Linked DNA regions of Callithrix jacchus. The protein of the gene in region 1 binds, or shares a complex with, the protein of each later gene. Links are inferred from orthologs where the notes say so. Each region holds a gene or a part of one and is shown in the gene's direction. Other genes may lie near its edges.

Region 1 (4,161 bases):
TTCTGCTCTAGGGAAACTTAAGATCTGTTGAATGAATAAATGTTAGAAAATAAAAATACAGACTGGGCATAGTGGCTCACGCCTGTAGGCCAGCACTTTGGAAGGCATGACAGGTGGATAGTGTCAGGCCAGGAGTTTGAGACCAGCCTGGGCAACATGGGGAATCCCTGTCTTTACCAAAAATATAAAGAAAATTAGCCGAAGACGGTGGTGCCTAGTGATTGGGGAGATTCAGGTGGGAGGGGATTGCTTGAGCCCAAAAGACCGAGGCTGCAGTGAGTGGAGATTGTGCCACTGCACTCAGACCTGGGCAAGAGTGAGACCCTGTCTCAAAAACAACAACAACAAAACAAAAAACTTGTCTGTGGGGTAGACTGTATTTATTTTCAATCATATTTCTTTTCCTAATACTCTTTTGTGTAGCCTATATTGTAAAATGAGGTTGAGGTGATTGAACACACTGTTAATAGAGTGAGGAAGTGGTTAGAGTTAAAATTTCTTGCTGAAAGTGGGTAATCTGCAATTCCCTACATTGGGTTGATTCCTCTCTGCCAGCTCTTGCTGCATTTAGAGGCTGCCCTAAGCATGATGTAATGACAGGTTAAACCTCTGCACGCACTAGCTGATGCAATGCAAATCTGAGGCCCAGGACTTTATTGGGGCAAGGGTAATGCTTGTTTAAAAACAAAACAAGCTACTCTGCGTTTAATGAGGCCATTTAAGATGGCTTTCCCAGAGTGGGAAGAGAGTATACTCTCTTAGGAGGTTTAAGTAGGAGTTTAATGTGGCAGAAGTATGCTTACTACTTTTCCTGCAAAGTGTTTTCGCAGCGGGGAAGGGGAATTTAAAATACATTACCGATAGGAGAAGTGAAGTGAGCTAGAATTGAGGAAATTAGTAGTTGATGCCAGTAAATAGCTGTTGAATGAATTAGGGAGAATGTTTTCACTCCAAAATTTTAGAGTTCGGATAAACGTAGAGCGGAGCGCCAGTGTGGCCACGCATTTCAAGATACGCTGTAGCTCTTAGATTGAAACCGTAAGAAACTCCTGATATGAGACTGTTCTGACACACCGAAAACGGCATGGTTCCACCTAACTTTAAACTGGTGGAAATGCTGAGGAAGGCTCGATGTCGCTGGGGTGCGGTGGTATGCGGTCCATGGCGGGGTGGGGTCCATGGCGGGGTGGCACGGGGTCAGAGCTGCGGGGTCCCGCGGCCCCGCCCTGGGTTGTGGGGCGGGGCTTGCGGGCACGGCCCCACCTCTGCGCGAGCGAGACGGGCACCGCCCTGCACGCTGCGCGCCCTGGACTGGCCCTTGGCTCTCCTGGTTGGAGCGGGCGTTCCCGGCGCAGGCCCATCCCCAGCTGGCCGAGGCTCCAAATGGCTCTCCCGGCAGGCGGGCTCCTGCAGTAGCCCCTGAGCTGGCTCAGGGAGCGTACTTCCTTCTCAGCCAGCGGGTCACCCCTCCACCAGAGCCGAGCAGGAGCCTACCCAGTGAATCTGGAGAAGACAAACTTGGGAGACAGACGAAGGCTTAGGGCATGGTGGAGGACAGCGCAGCTGTGGCTCCCATTTTCGGAGATGCAGCCGAATTTGAGCTCACGGGGAGGTGTGGTTGCCTCCTGGGGATGGAAAGGCTTTCTTTCTCCACCTCTGTAACTGGTGCTTCTGAGAAGTGAAACGATATTTGGATCCTGACCTCAGACGCCAATTTGGGTCTTTTGTGTTTAGGAGCAGAAAGTGCCCAGGAGGGTCCTGTACCTTTACTTCTTGGAAAAGGCAGTGAGCTGCCTGAGTTCTCATGACGGGAAAGCCTATTCCACCTTCTCTTTACTCCTGGAGGGGAGTCTTGTTCACATGTTTACCGGCGACTAGGACAAGGAAGAGAAAAGGTATTGACATTAACAGGATGGGTTGCTGAGGCTGTGAAACTTGAACGCTGTTAGTCAGTGGAACCTGCCTGGCTTACGGAATGGCTGCAGCAGAATCGAGCTGTTTCCTAGGTTAGCAGTCATGTTTCATTTGGGCTGTTGTGCTTTTTTTCTGTTTAAATCAAACTTCAGGTTACGTCATGACTTCTGCAGGGCTGTCCTTGGTTCCTACTGCAGGGCGGCTGTGTGGTTGGGATTCCTTTTCTGTTTCAAGATGGAGCTGGGTAGCACCTTTGGAGCTTGGAGAGGCTTTAGCAGTTGCTGTCCTGTATACCTCCATTTACAAGAAATCCTGTTCCCATTTCGGTTTTCACACTTTGAGTAAGAGTTAAAATCTGCTTTATTACAGTGTTTGGAAAATGATAAAGATATATTGTAATGTGAGCCTGAACTGTTGATGATAAATGTATAACTACTGCTAGGTCAAGAAATTGAAAAATAATGTTTTGATTGGTCTGTAGCTGTGTTGTGTTAAATATAAACTGAGTTTACTGCCCTTGGATGTGATTCTCTGGTTTGGTTTGGTAATTTGAAAGGTATTGGTTGCCTAGACTGTTTTGTGCCCAAGGAAACACTTTCTAATTGTTATGCTGTTAATTCAGTAAGCAGCATAAACTGGACCATGCAGTAGGCATACAGCATACAGCCAGGATGTTTTGGCAATGCTGAGCCCACTGTTTTACAAGTGACATAAAATGTATGGATCATCGTATGTACAAAGAATCCACTCAGGGAAACCGGATTACAGGAGAGTTCCTTTACAGTCCTTTTGTCAGGGTACAGAACACCTGGGTTACACAGGGCTTCAGATGAGAGTTGATTCATGATCTGAGTCTATATGATGAGACACATTATGATGGAATTGTCACTTTTGTTGCCTCTTGAACTTTAAAATATATCTTTAGTGATGTGGAATTAATCTTTATTTTTCCTTCACCCTCAGCCTTCATTTAAGGTATCAGTTGGTAACCACCTGAGTAATCTAGAACCCAAGTTGCATTTACTTGGTCATATTGGTAACTAACATTGTTTCTCAAAAGTTTCTTGCAACAGAATAATGACTATAATTGAGATAAAACATTAACTTTAAGGCTTTAACTTTGTAAGAATATGGCTTAGTATAGTTACTAGGAGTGTATTCTTAGGACATCGACCGATCTATTTTTTCACCCCCAAGACAAATAGTGGCCTCCTATATCCCAGCCCAGGGAGCTCTTTGGGATGAGTTACTTGTTTTATCTTTGACTCAGCCTGACTAGTTACATTGTCGATCATTTCTTCCAGATGACATTTATCTGTCAAATAATGTTGATTAGTCTGCTGATGAATGTTTAAACAACGCTGGAGAACCCTAGGCTAAGGGGTTCTACACCTGTTGACTCCATCCCCCACTCCCAGTGTGGTGTGTCTCTGCCGTGCTATCTGTATTCTTCCCCTGTTCAGTTTCTCCCTGACTCTCCTTCTTTGTTCATTATGTCTGATTTATATTGTGGATTGCAAATAGAGAAAGATATGCTTTCTCTACGACACCAAAAAGTTTTATTTGAGATGGCTCTCCATTTCTCCCACGTCTCCCTTCACTTTTGCTGTGTTTTTATTTATTTTTATATTTTTGCTACCTTCACTAGAGAGTACATCCCCTCACTCTTGAGGTGGGCACTGATCAGTAGGAAAGAAGATCAATACCTGGCTGATGATAATTTGGGGGGCAGATTGATAGATAAAGGGGATGGCAGCAGATCTTTCCCCTTGTGATCCCTCCCCTCATTCCTAAATTACACCTCTAGAGTAGGTAACTGCTCACCATTAAGAAGAGTTAATGGAAGGCATTTGAACTACACTCATCCCGTGGTATCCTCGGAAGATTAGTTCCAGGATCCCCTTCCCCATACCAAAACCTGAGGATGTTCAAGTCTCTGATAGAACATGTTATCATATTTGTATATAACCTGTGCATATTCTCCTGTATAATTTATCTCTGGATTACTTACACTTAATACAATGTAAATAATAGGTAAATAGTTGTTATATATGTTTTATTTTAAAAATTTTGTATTATTTTAAAATTTTTCTGAATATTTTCAATCCATGGCTGGTAAATAGTTATATATGTTTTATTTTAAAAATTTTGTATTATTTTAAAATTTTTCTGAATGTTTTCAATCCATGGCTGGTGAAGTCCTCAGATGCAGATTCTGTGGTTACAGAGTGCCGATTTTACACAGGA
Region 2 (3,440 bases), on another chromosome or scaffold:
TGGGCATCCGGAGCACCTGCTGCTTGTCTCACCCCTCCCTGACTGGACCTGACCTGCAGGAATCTGGACCTGAGCAAGTTCTGCATTGGCCAGAAAGAGGAGCAGCTGCCCAACTACGATCTGTATGCTGTCATTAACCACTATGGAGGCATGATCGGTGGCCACTACACTGCCTGTGCACGCCTGCCCAATGATCGTAGCAGTCAGCGCAGTGACGTGGGTGAGGGCACACACAGCCCAGCAGGATAGGTGGTAGGGGTGGTGGTACAGACTTTGTTCACACTCTTCCCACCCTGCTGTAGGCTGGCGCTTGTTTGATGACAGCACGGTGACAACGGTAGACGAGAGCCAGGTCGTGACACGTTATGCCTATGTACTCTTCTATCGCCGGCGGAACTCTCCTGTGGAGAGGCCCCCCAGGGCAGGTCACTCTGAGCACCACCCAGACCTAGGCCCTGCAGCCGAGGCTGCTGCCAGCCAGGTGAGGCATGTGGTAGGCTTTACAGAATAGTGGGGATAGCTCACAGACTGTGGGGCAGGGTTGGGGGATAGAGCTTCCTCTCCTCCAGCCACAGACCCCTTGAGCCTTGGGATTCATGAGAATTGCAAAGTTCCCTTACATCAAAGCCTTATCCAGAAGTATCCCCATACCCTGGGAACACTAACAAATGTACAGGTACACTAATAACATGCTGCCACTGGCAAGCACATTGGCACCCACTTGGCACAGATCAGGCAACTGCTCTGAACCTCACTGGGCACTGTGCTGTGAATGGACTATACCTGACAATTTCCCAGATTTCCCCCTCACATTCCCCACATGATAGCCCACACACCTTCACTTGTGATATCCCTGAGTTCTGGTGTGCACTCAAGACAAGGCCTATCTGGGCTGGCCATGGCCTCTGGTGGCTGTCATACTCTCTGAGGTAAACATAAGCATCTGTCTTTGCTGATCTTCTGTCTCTTTTACTGACATGGTATGCCATAGATCCAGTTGGTGGGCATGGGCACATCTCTTTTCTGGACTGGCTGCCTCCTTTCTGGCCCCATTCTCTTGAGCCCTCTGTCAAGCTTAGAGAAATTTCTGCAGAAGACTGGTCAGGATCTGGGTATGGATGGAAAGGAACAAGGAGATTGCTCTGGGATTGGCAACCCTGTTCTCTATGCATCAGTGTCATCTGGGGAGGCCTGGACTAAAATACTAACCAGATAACTCCCCACCCACCTCCATGTGGAGCTGCATGTGGATTGAGAGCTGTTTAGGGTAGGCAAAAATGCTATCAAGATTCTTTTACCCGGCCGGGGCGCGGTGGCTCAAGCCTGTAATCCCAGCATTTTGGGAGGCCGAGGCGGGTGGATCACGAGGTCAAGAGATCGAGACCATCCTGGTCAACGTGGTGAAACCCCGTCTCTACTAAAAAAATACAAAAAACTCGCTGGGCATGGTGGCGCATGTCTGTGATCTTGGCTGCTCAGGAGGCTGAGGCAGGGGAATTGCCTGAATCCAGGAGGCGGAGGTTGCAGTGAGCCGAGATCCCGCCATTGCACTCCAGCCTGGGTAATAAGAATGAAACTCTGTCTCAAAAAAAAAAAAAGATTCTTTTACCCTTGTGCTCTTAGTCTGGACAACCCTGAGGTTGGCTGCCTGCCTTCTTCCTTGCTGCTTGATCTAGAATGCAGGGTGTTAGCCCCAGTCACCCCAGATGGGACTGTCATGGCTAAGAGTCTCAGGGATACTGGGTCCTCCCCAACCCTGGGGTGCTGATGGCCGTTTCCACATACCCTAGGCTTCCCGGATTTGGCAGGAGCTGGAGGCTGAGGAGGAGCCGGTGCCTGAGGGGCCTGGGCCCATGGGTCCCTGGGGGCCCCAAGACTGGGTGGGCCCCCCACCACGTGGCCCTACCACACCAGATGAGGGCTGCCTCCGGTACTTTGTCCTGGGCACCGTGGCAGCTTTGGTGGCCCTCGTGCTCAACGTGTTCTATCCTCTGGTATCCCAGAGTCGCTGGAGATGAGCTCACCTGCAGGCAGCAGCTGTGAGCTGGCCTACCTGCCTGCCCAGGCCATGCCTGCCTTTGTTGTGGGGAACGTCTCTGGGCTTTGGGCCTCAGCTTGTGTATCTGGTGGGGGAGGGTGGGGAGACTGTGGCCTCTGCAGGGGCAGGGCATCCTAGGGTGGGTATCCATCCAGCTGTCTGTCCATTCATACCATACTGTTGCTCTGACCCTTGGCCTGGGGCTTGGCCCTGCCCAAGCTACTTCCTGTACGTAAAGTGTTAATAAAACCAGACTATTCAGGCCCGATCTCGTCTCTCTGTCTCACGCCGCTGCTGTCTGCGCCTGCCTTGGGACCCTCCCTTGGGTGCCAGGGCTCCAAGCCAGCACCCCCGGGATGCCAGGCGGCATGCTGGGCAGCCCCCAACCCCTGTCCTCATATTCTGTTGCAGGGACTAGGCCCTGGCCAGGCCCCCGAGGTGGCCCCCACGCGGACAGCCCCTGAACGCTTCGCCCCCCCTGTGGATCGGCCAGCCCCTACCTACAGCAACATGGAGGAGGTGGATTAGCAGGTCCCTGGCTGATGGGGGGTCCTGGGTATGGGAGACCCACCACAGAGGGCCAGCTCTTTGCTGCTTCTCCTTCTCTAATCCAGAGGACACTGGCTCTGTCAACGGGAAGCTGTGGGGTATGATTTGGGTGTGGAAACATCTCAGGTTGGGACTTCTTGTCAGCTTGGACGCCTGACCAGTGGGCTTTGGCTTCTCCAGCTGCCTCCAGTGCTGCGTGATTTGATTCTCAGTTGTACCTTCAATTCTTTCTGACCCACATTATAAACATAATTTTATTCTAAAAATTGTAATTTTTTTTTGCATTTTGGAAGTGATTGCTGCTGTTTAAATATATTTTAAAAATAAAAAATTAGTAGACTTAGTGACTGTGATCCACCACGTGCTGGGGCCACCTCCCCTCCCCATCATTTGGTCATGTCTGTGTGTGTGTGTCTGTGTGCATCTGTGTGCGTGCAGGTATGTATAAGAGACCTTGAAAGTGCTCTATTCTGAAGAGAGATGAAGGGGTCCCAGTTCATGTCCTATGGCTCATGAAACCCCCAGTGCTGTCAGCTCTTTGGAACTTACCTGCTGCTCTTTGATTTCACTGGTTCTGGGTCCCACATAGAGGCAGCTGTGGTTGGCATCATCAGGATTTCAATGCCCAAGAGACAGAGGAGTATATGAGGCACTGGAGTTGACAGCATGGAGTCAAAGGTGCATGTACCAGAGCAGCCTCGGGCTGACAACCAGACAATAAGTCAAGGAGGACTTGGTGGGGGACAGAATACTGGGGGTGGGGATCTTCCTCCTTATCAGTTCTCAGCTTTTTCTTTGCTTGAACAACATCTGGATCCCTACAGGTGGGAAACTGCTGTGGGGCAGATCTTGC
Region 3 (3,587 bases), on another chromosome or scaffold:
TGTTGTCCAGGCTGGAGTGCAAATGGCGTGATCTTGGCTCACTGCAACCTCTGCCACCCGGGTTCAAGTGATTCTCCTGCTTTGGCTTCCTGAGTAGCTGGGATTACAGTCATGTGCCACCACGCTGGTTAATTTTTGTATTTTTAGTAGAGACAGGGTTTTGCCATGTTGGTCAGGCTGGTCTCGAACTCCTGACCTCCAGCGATCCACCGGCCTCAACCTCCCAAAGTGCTGGAGCCACTGCACCTAGCTAGAGTTGAACTTTTTATACTATGTCATCTGTTATAGTTAGGCAAAACTAGGGCCTCTGAATTAAATAAAAGACTTGTAGTAAAAGAAAAGAATGGGTAGTTCTGTTACTGCATTTTATGACTAAGAAAGGCTTTCAAACTGTTGTGTTTCTGATATTCCGAGTTATTTATTTTATTTTTTTTGAGACGGAGTTTCGCTGTTGTTACCCAGACTGGAGTGCAATGGCACGATCTCAGCTCACCGCAACCTCCGCCTCCTGGGTTCAGGCAATTCTCCTGCCTCAGCCTCCTGAGTAACTGGGAACTACAGGCACGCACCACCACGCCCAGCTAATTTTTGTATTTTTAGTAGAGATGGGGTTTCACCTTGCTAATAACCAGGATGGTCTTGATCTCTTGACCTCATGATCCACCCGCCTCGGCCTCCCAAAGTGCTGGGATTATAGGTGTGAGCCACTGCACCTGGCTATTCTGAGTTATCAAACACTTAAAGATTTTTTTAAATTGAGCTTCTGACATAATCAAGCTGTGACAGAAGATTTTTTGGTCAAGTTGGTAGTATCCAGCCAGAATGTAAAAGTCATTGTAAGAAAAGCGAATCACCTGTTTGGAAAGATCTTGTGCATTTGCAGTATGTCAGAGGGTAATTAGGGAAAAAAACTTAGGCTCAATAATTTTCTAACATTGTCTTTAACTCTTGAATTTCATAAAATGTTGCCTCTATCTCTAGAAAGTAAAAAGTAGTAGACTTTAGTAGATGATGGATTGGCATAAAAAGAAAACAAGAACTTGGTGGCTTTTTCAAAAGATAATTTCCAAGAGTAGGTTGCATTTTGGGTTTTTTGTCACCTGTGCACCCAACTCCTACACTTCTGACTGTAAGACCCAGCTTCAGAACAAGACTTTTCCTTAAAAGCAGAAATTTGTTTTTAAAAATCTTTAGTCTGAAAACTTTAGACTTTTTTTATGTGAGGTATTTGAGGTGGGAAGATAATGAAGACCAGTCAGTGACAGAAAGTAGAGTATTCATTACCTCAGTAAAGTTGCTATATTACCATGCTGTATTACACTGCATGTTCTCTCATCTCTTAAATATTTTTAAAGTGTCTTAACATCTAATGATACTAGGATTAGATGTTACAAGGAAATCTATGAACACCTTGTTAAAAAAAATTTCTAAGTTGCAGATGTGTCTTGTAAATATTTTAAATACAAACTGGAAACTAGGTTTGATTACCTATTGTTTGTTCAAGATTGTTCAAAGTTTTCCTTTAAAAAAAAAGGAAGCTTGAGTTAATTATAGTTAATAAGCCAGAGGAAAGAATTGAAGTTGCAACTCAATCCTAGAAAATTTAGATGAACCTCTTAATTCTTAGTGCTTATTTCAGTAAGTTGAAATGAGTGATAAGCACAATAGAAAACCATAGCCTTATTTATCATAGCTAACTTATTTTTTGTCTTAACACAGCTACAGAAAGATCTAGAAGAGGTAAAGGTGTTGCTGGAAAAGACTACTAGGAAAAGAATACGAGATGCCCTTACAGCTGAAAAATCCAAGATTGAGACAGAAATCAAGAACAAGATGCAACAGAAATCACAGAAGAAAGCAGAGCTTCTTGAAAATGAAAAGCCAGCTGCTGTGGTTGCTCCCATTACAACAGGCTATACAGTGAAAATCAGTAATTATGGTATGATTTGCTTCCCTAGACCAGTTCTGCCTCCGATCAACCTATTCCTCATAGTGATCTAGTAACAAATTTTTATTTATTTATTTATTTATTTTGAGACGGCGTTTCGCTCGTTACCCAGCTGGAGTGCAATGGCGCGATCTCAGCTCACTGCAACCTCTGCCTCTTGGGTTCAGGCAATTCTCCTGCCTCAGCCTCCTGAGTAGCTGGGATTACAGGCACGTGCCACCATGCCCAGCTAATTTTTTGTAGAGATGGGGTTTCACCTTGTTGACCAGGATGGTCTCGATCTCTTGACCTCGTGATCCACCCGCCTTGGCCTCCCAGAGTGCTGGGATTACAGGCGTGAGACACCGTGCCCGGCCAAATTTATCTTTAAAAGAGCTTTCTGTGTGCGTTTTTGGTGGCTTGGAGGAAGACCCATCAGTTTTTATTTAATAAATAGGAAGGGATAATTTACAAAAGATGTTAACAATAAGGTGATTCAGTGCAAAGATGAATAGCAACAACGAAGCAACTTACTCTGAAATTGTTCAGTATATATGAGGCACTGCAGTGGTGGTGGTTTTTAATGTTTTACGTTGCACTCTGACAGCCACCTCAATTAACTGAGGAGAGGAATCCAGTTAAATTCAATAAATGTTTTTGAGCACTTACTGTGTATCACTATTGTGCTTGGACTTAAGGATACACAAGAGTGACTAAGACCCAGTCCTTGCTCATGGTGTGGTTGGGACACAGACATATAACTCACACTATAACAATGTAGTAACACTTTCCTTCAGTGGTGTATTCAGCTTTTTGTTTTGGCGGCAGTACAACTTGAATATGAGTGATCAGCTCTCATGAGAGCAAGGACAGTCTTTTTTTTCTTTGTGCTCATAGTGTCTAGTACATAGTGGGTAATATAGCTCAGGAAATAATTCTGGAGGTGAGAAACGGGGAAAATTAGATTTGAATGTGAAGGGTGAGTTGTATATTCAGTAAGTTGAAAAGGGAGCAGCATGAGCAGAGGAAGAGTTGGAAGGCATGATATATATGGAATATTGGTATAGTGAAAAGCATGTGTATGCTGGTTTCAAACTCCTGACCTCCAGTGGATCCACTGGCCTTGACCTCCCAAAGGGCTGGGATTACAGGTGTGAGCCACTCCACCCGGCCAGAGTTGAACTTTTTATACTGTGTCGTCTGTTAAAGATAGGCAAAACTAGGGTATCTGAGTTAAATGAGATAAAAGACTTGTAGTAAAGGAAAAGCATTAGTAGTTCTGTTACTGCATTTTATAAGACTATTAAGAAAGACTTTCAAACTGTCGTGCTTCTGATACTGAGTTTTGTTGTTTTTTTTTTTGAGACGGAGTTTCACTCTTGTTGCCCAGGTTAGGGTGCAATGGCATGATCTCTGCTCACTGCAACCTCTGCCTCCTGGGTTCAAGCGAGTCTTCTGCCTCAGCCTCCCGAGTAGCTGGGATTACAACCATGTGCCACCATGCCTGGATAATTTTGTATATTTAATAGAGACTGGGTTTCTCCATGTTGGTTAGGCTGGTCTCGAACTCCCAACCTCAGGTGATCCACCCGCCTGAGCCTCCCAAAGTGCTGGAATTACAGGCATGAACCACCACGCCTGGCCCTGATATTGAGTTATT

The links. The genes of interacting proteins can lie anywhere in the genome.
Region 2: the proteins of SIAH1 (region 1) and USP19 are in contact, whole or in part, in a crystal structure (PDB 4X3G), measured with the Homo sapiens proteins. The link is inferred for Callithrix jacchus from reciprocal best matches to the Homo sapiens genes SIAH1 and USP19. Residues at the interface, in NP_003022.3 of Homo sapiens: Cys130, Pro131, Thr156, Leu158, Gln159, Asp162, Ile163, Val164, Phe165, Leu166, Ala167, Thr168, Leu172, Val176, Asp177, Trp178, Val179, Met180, Asn276; in NP_006668.1 of Homo sapiens: Lys463, Pro464, Thr465, Cys466, Met467, Val468, Pro469, Pro470, Met471.
Region 3: the proteins of SIAH1 (region 1) and CACYBP are in contact, whole or in part, in a crystal structure (PDB 2A25), measured with the Homo sapiens proteins. The link is inferred for Callithrix jacchus from reciprocal best matches to the Homo sapiens genes SIAH1 and CACYBP. Residues at the interface, in NP_003022.3 of Homo sapiens: Leu158, Gln159, Asp162, Ile163, Val164, Phe165, Leu166, Ala167, Thr168, Val176, Asp177, Trp178, Val179, Met180, Asn276; in NP_055227.1 of Homo sapiens: Lys59, Pro60, Ala61, Ala62, Val63, Val64, Ala65, Pro66, Ile67.

The regions. Positions count from the first base shown.
Region 1 is NC_133521.1:6,077,575-6,081,735, reverse strand, and holds the start of SIAH1 (E3 ubiquitin-protein ligase SIAH1), read left to right. Parts: upstream 1-1,342; 5' UTR 1,343-1,804; coding exon of another isoform or gene 1,805-1,895; 5' UTR 1,896-1,975; coding exon of another isoform or gene 1,976-2,006; 5' UTR 2,007-2,074; coding exon 2,075-2,255; intron 2,256-4,161. UniProt on the Homo sapiens protein: E3 ubiquitin-protein ligase that mediates ubiquitination and subsequent proteasomal degradation of target proteins.
Region 2 is NC_133516.1:31,729,526-31,732,965, reverse strand, and holds the end of USP19 (ubiquitin carboxyl-terminal hydrolase 19), read left to right. Parts: intron 1-59; coding exon 60-220; intron 221-302; coding exon 303-481; intron 482-1,790; coding exon 1,791-2,018; 3' UTR 2,019-2,449; coding exon of another isoform or gene 2,450-2,566; 3' UTR 2,567-2,930; downstream 2,931-3,440. UniProt on the Homo sapiens protein: Deubiquitinating enzyme that regulates the degradation of various proteins by removing ubiquitin moieties, thereby preventing their proteasomal degradation. Stabilizes RNF123, which promotes CDKN1B degradation and contributes to cell proliferation.
Region 3 is NC_133519.1:28,150,143-28,153,729, reverse strand, and holds part of CACYBP (calcyclin-binding protein), read left to right. Parts: intron 1-1,719; coding exon 1,720-1,939; intron 1,940-3,587. UniProt on the Homo sapiens protein: May be involved in calcium-dependent ubiquitination and subsequent proteasomal degradation of target proteins. Probably serves as a molecular bridge in ubiquitin E3 complexes. Participates in the ubiquitin-mediated degradation of beta-catenin (CTNNB1).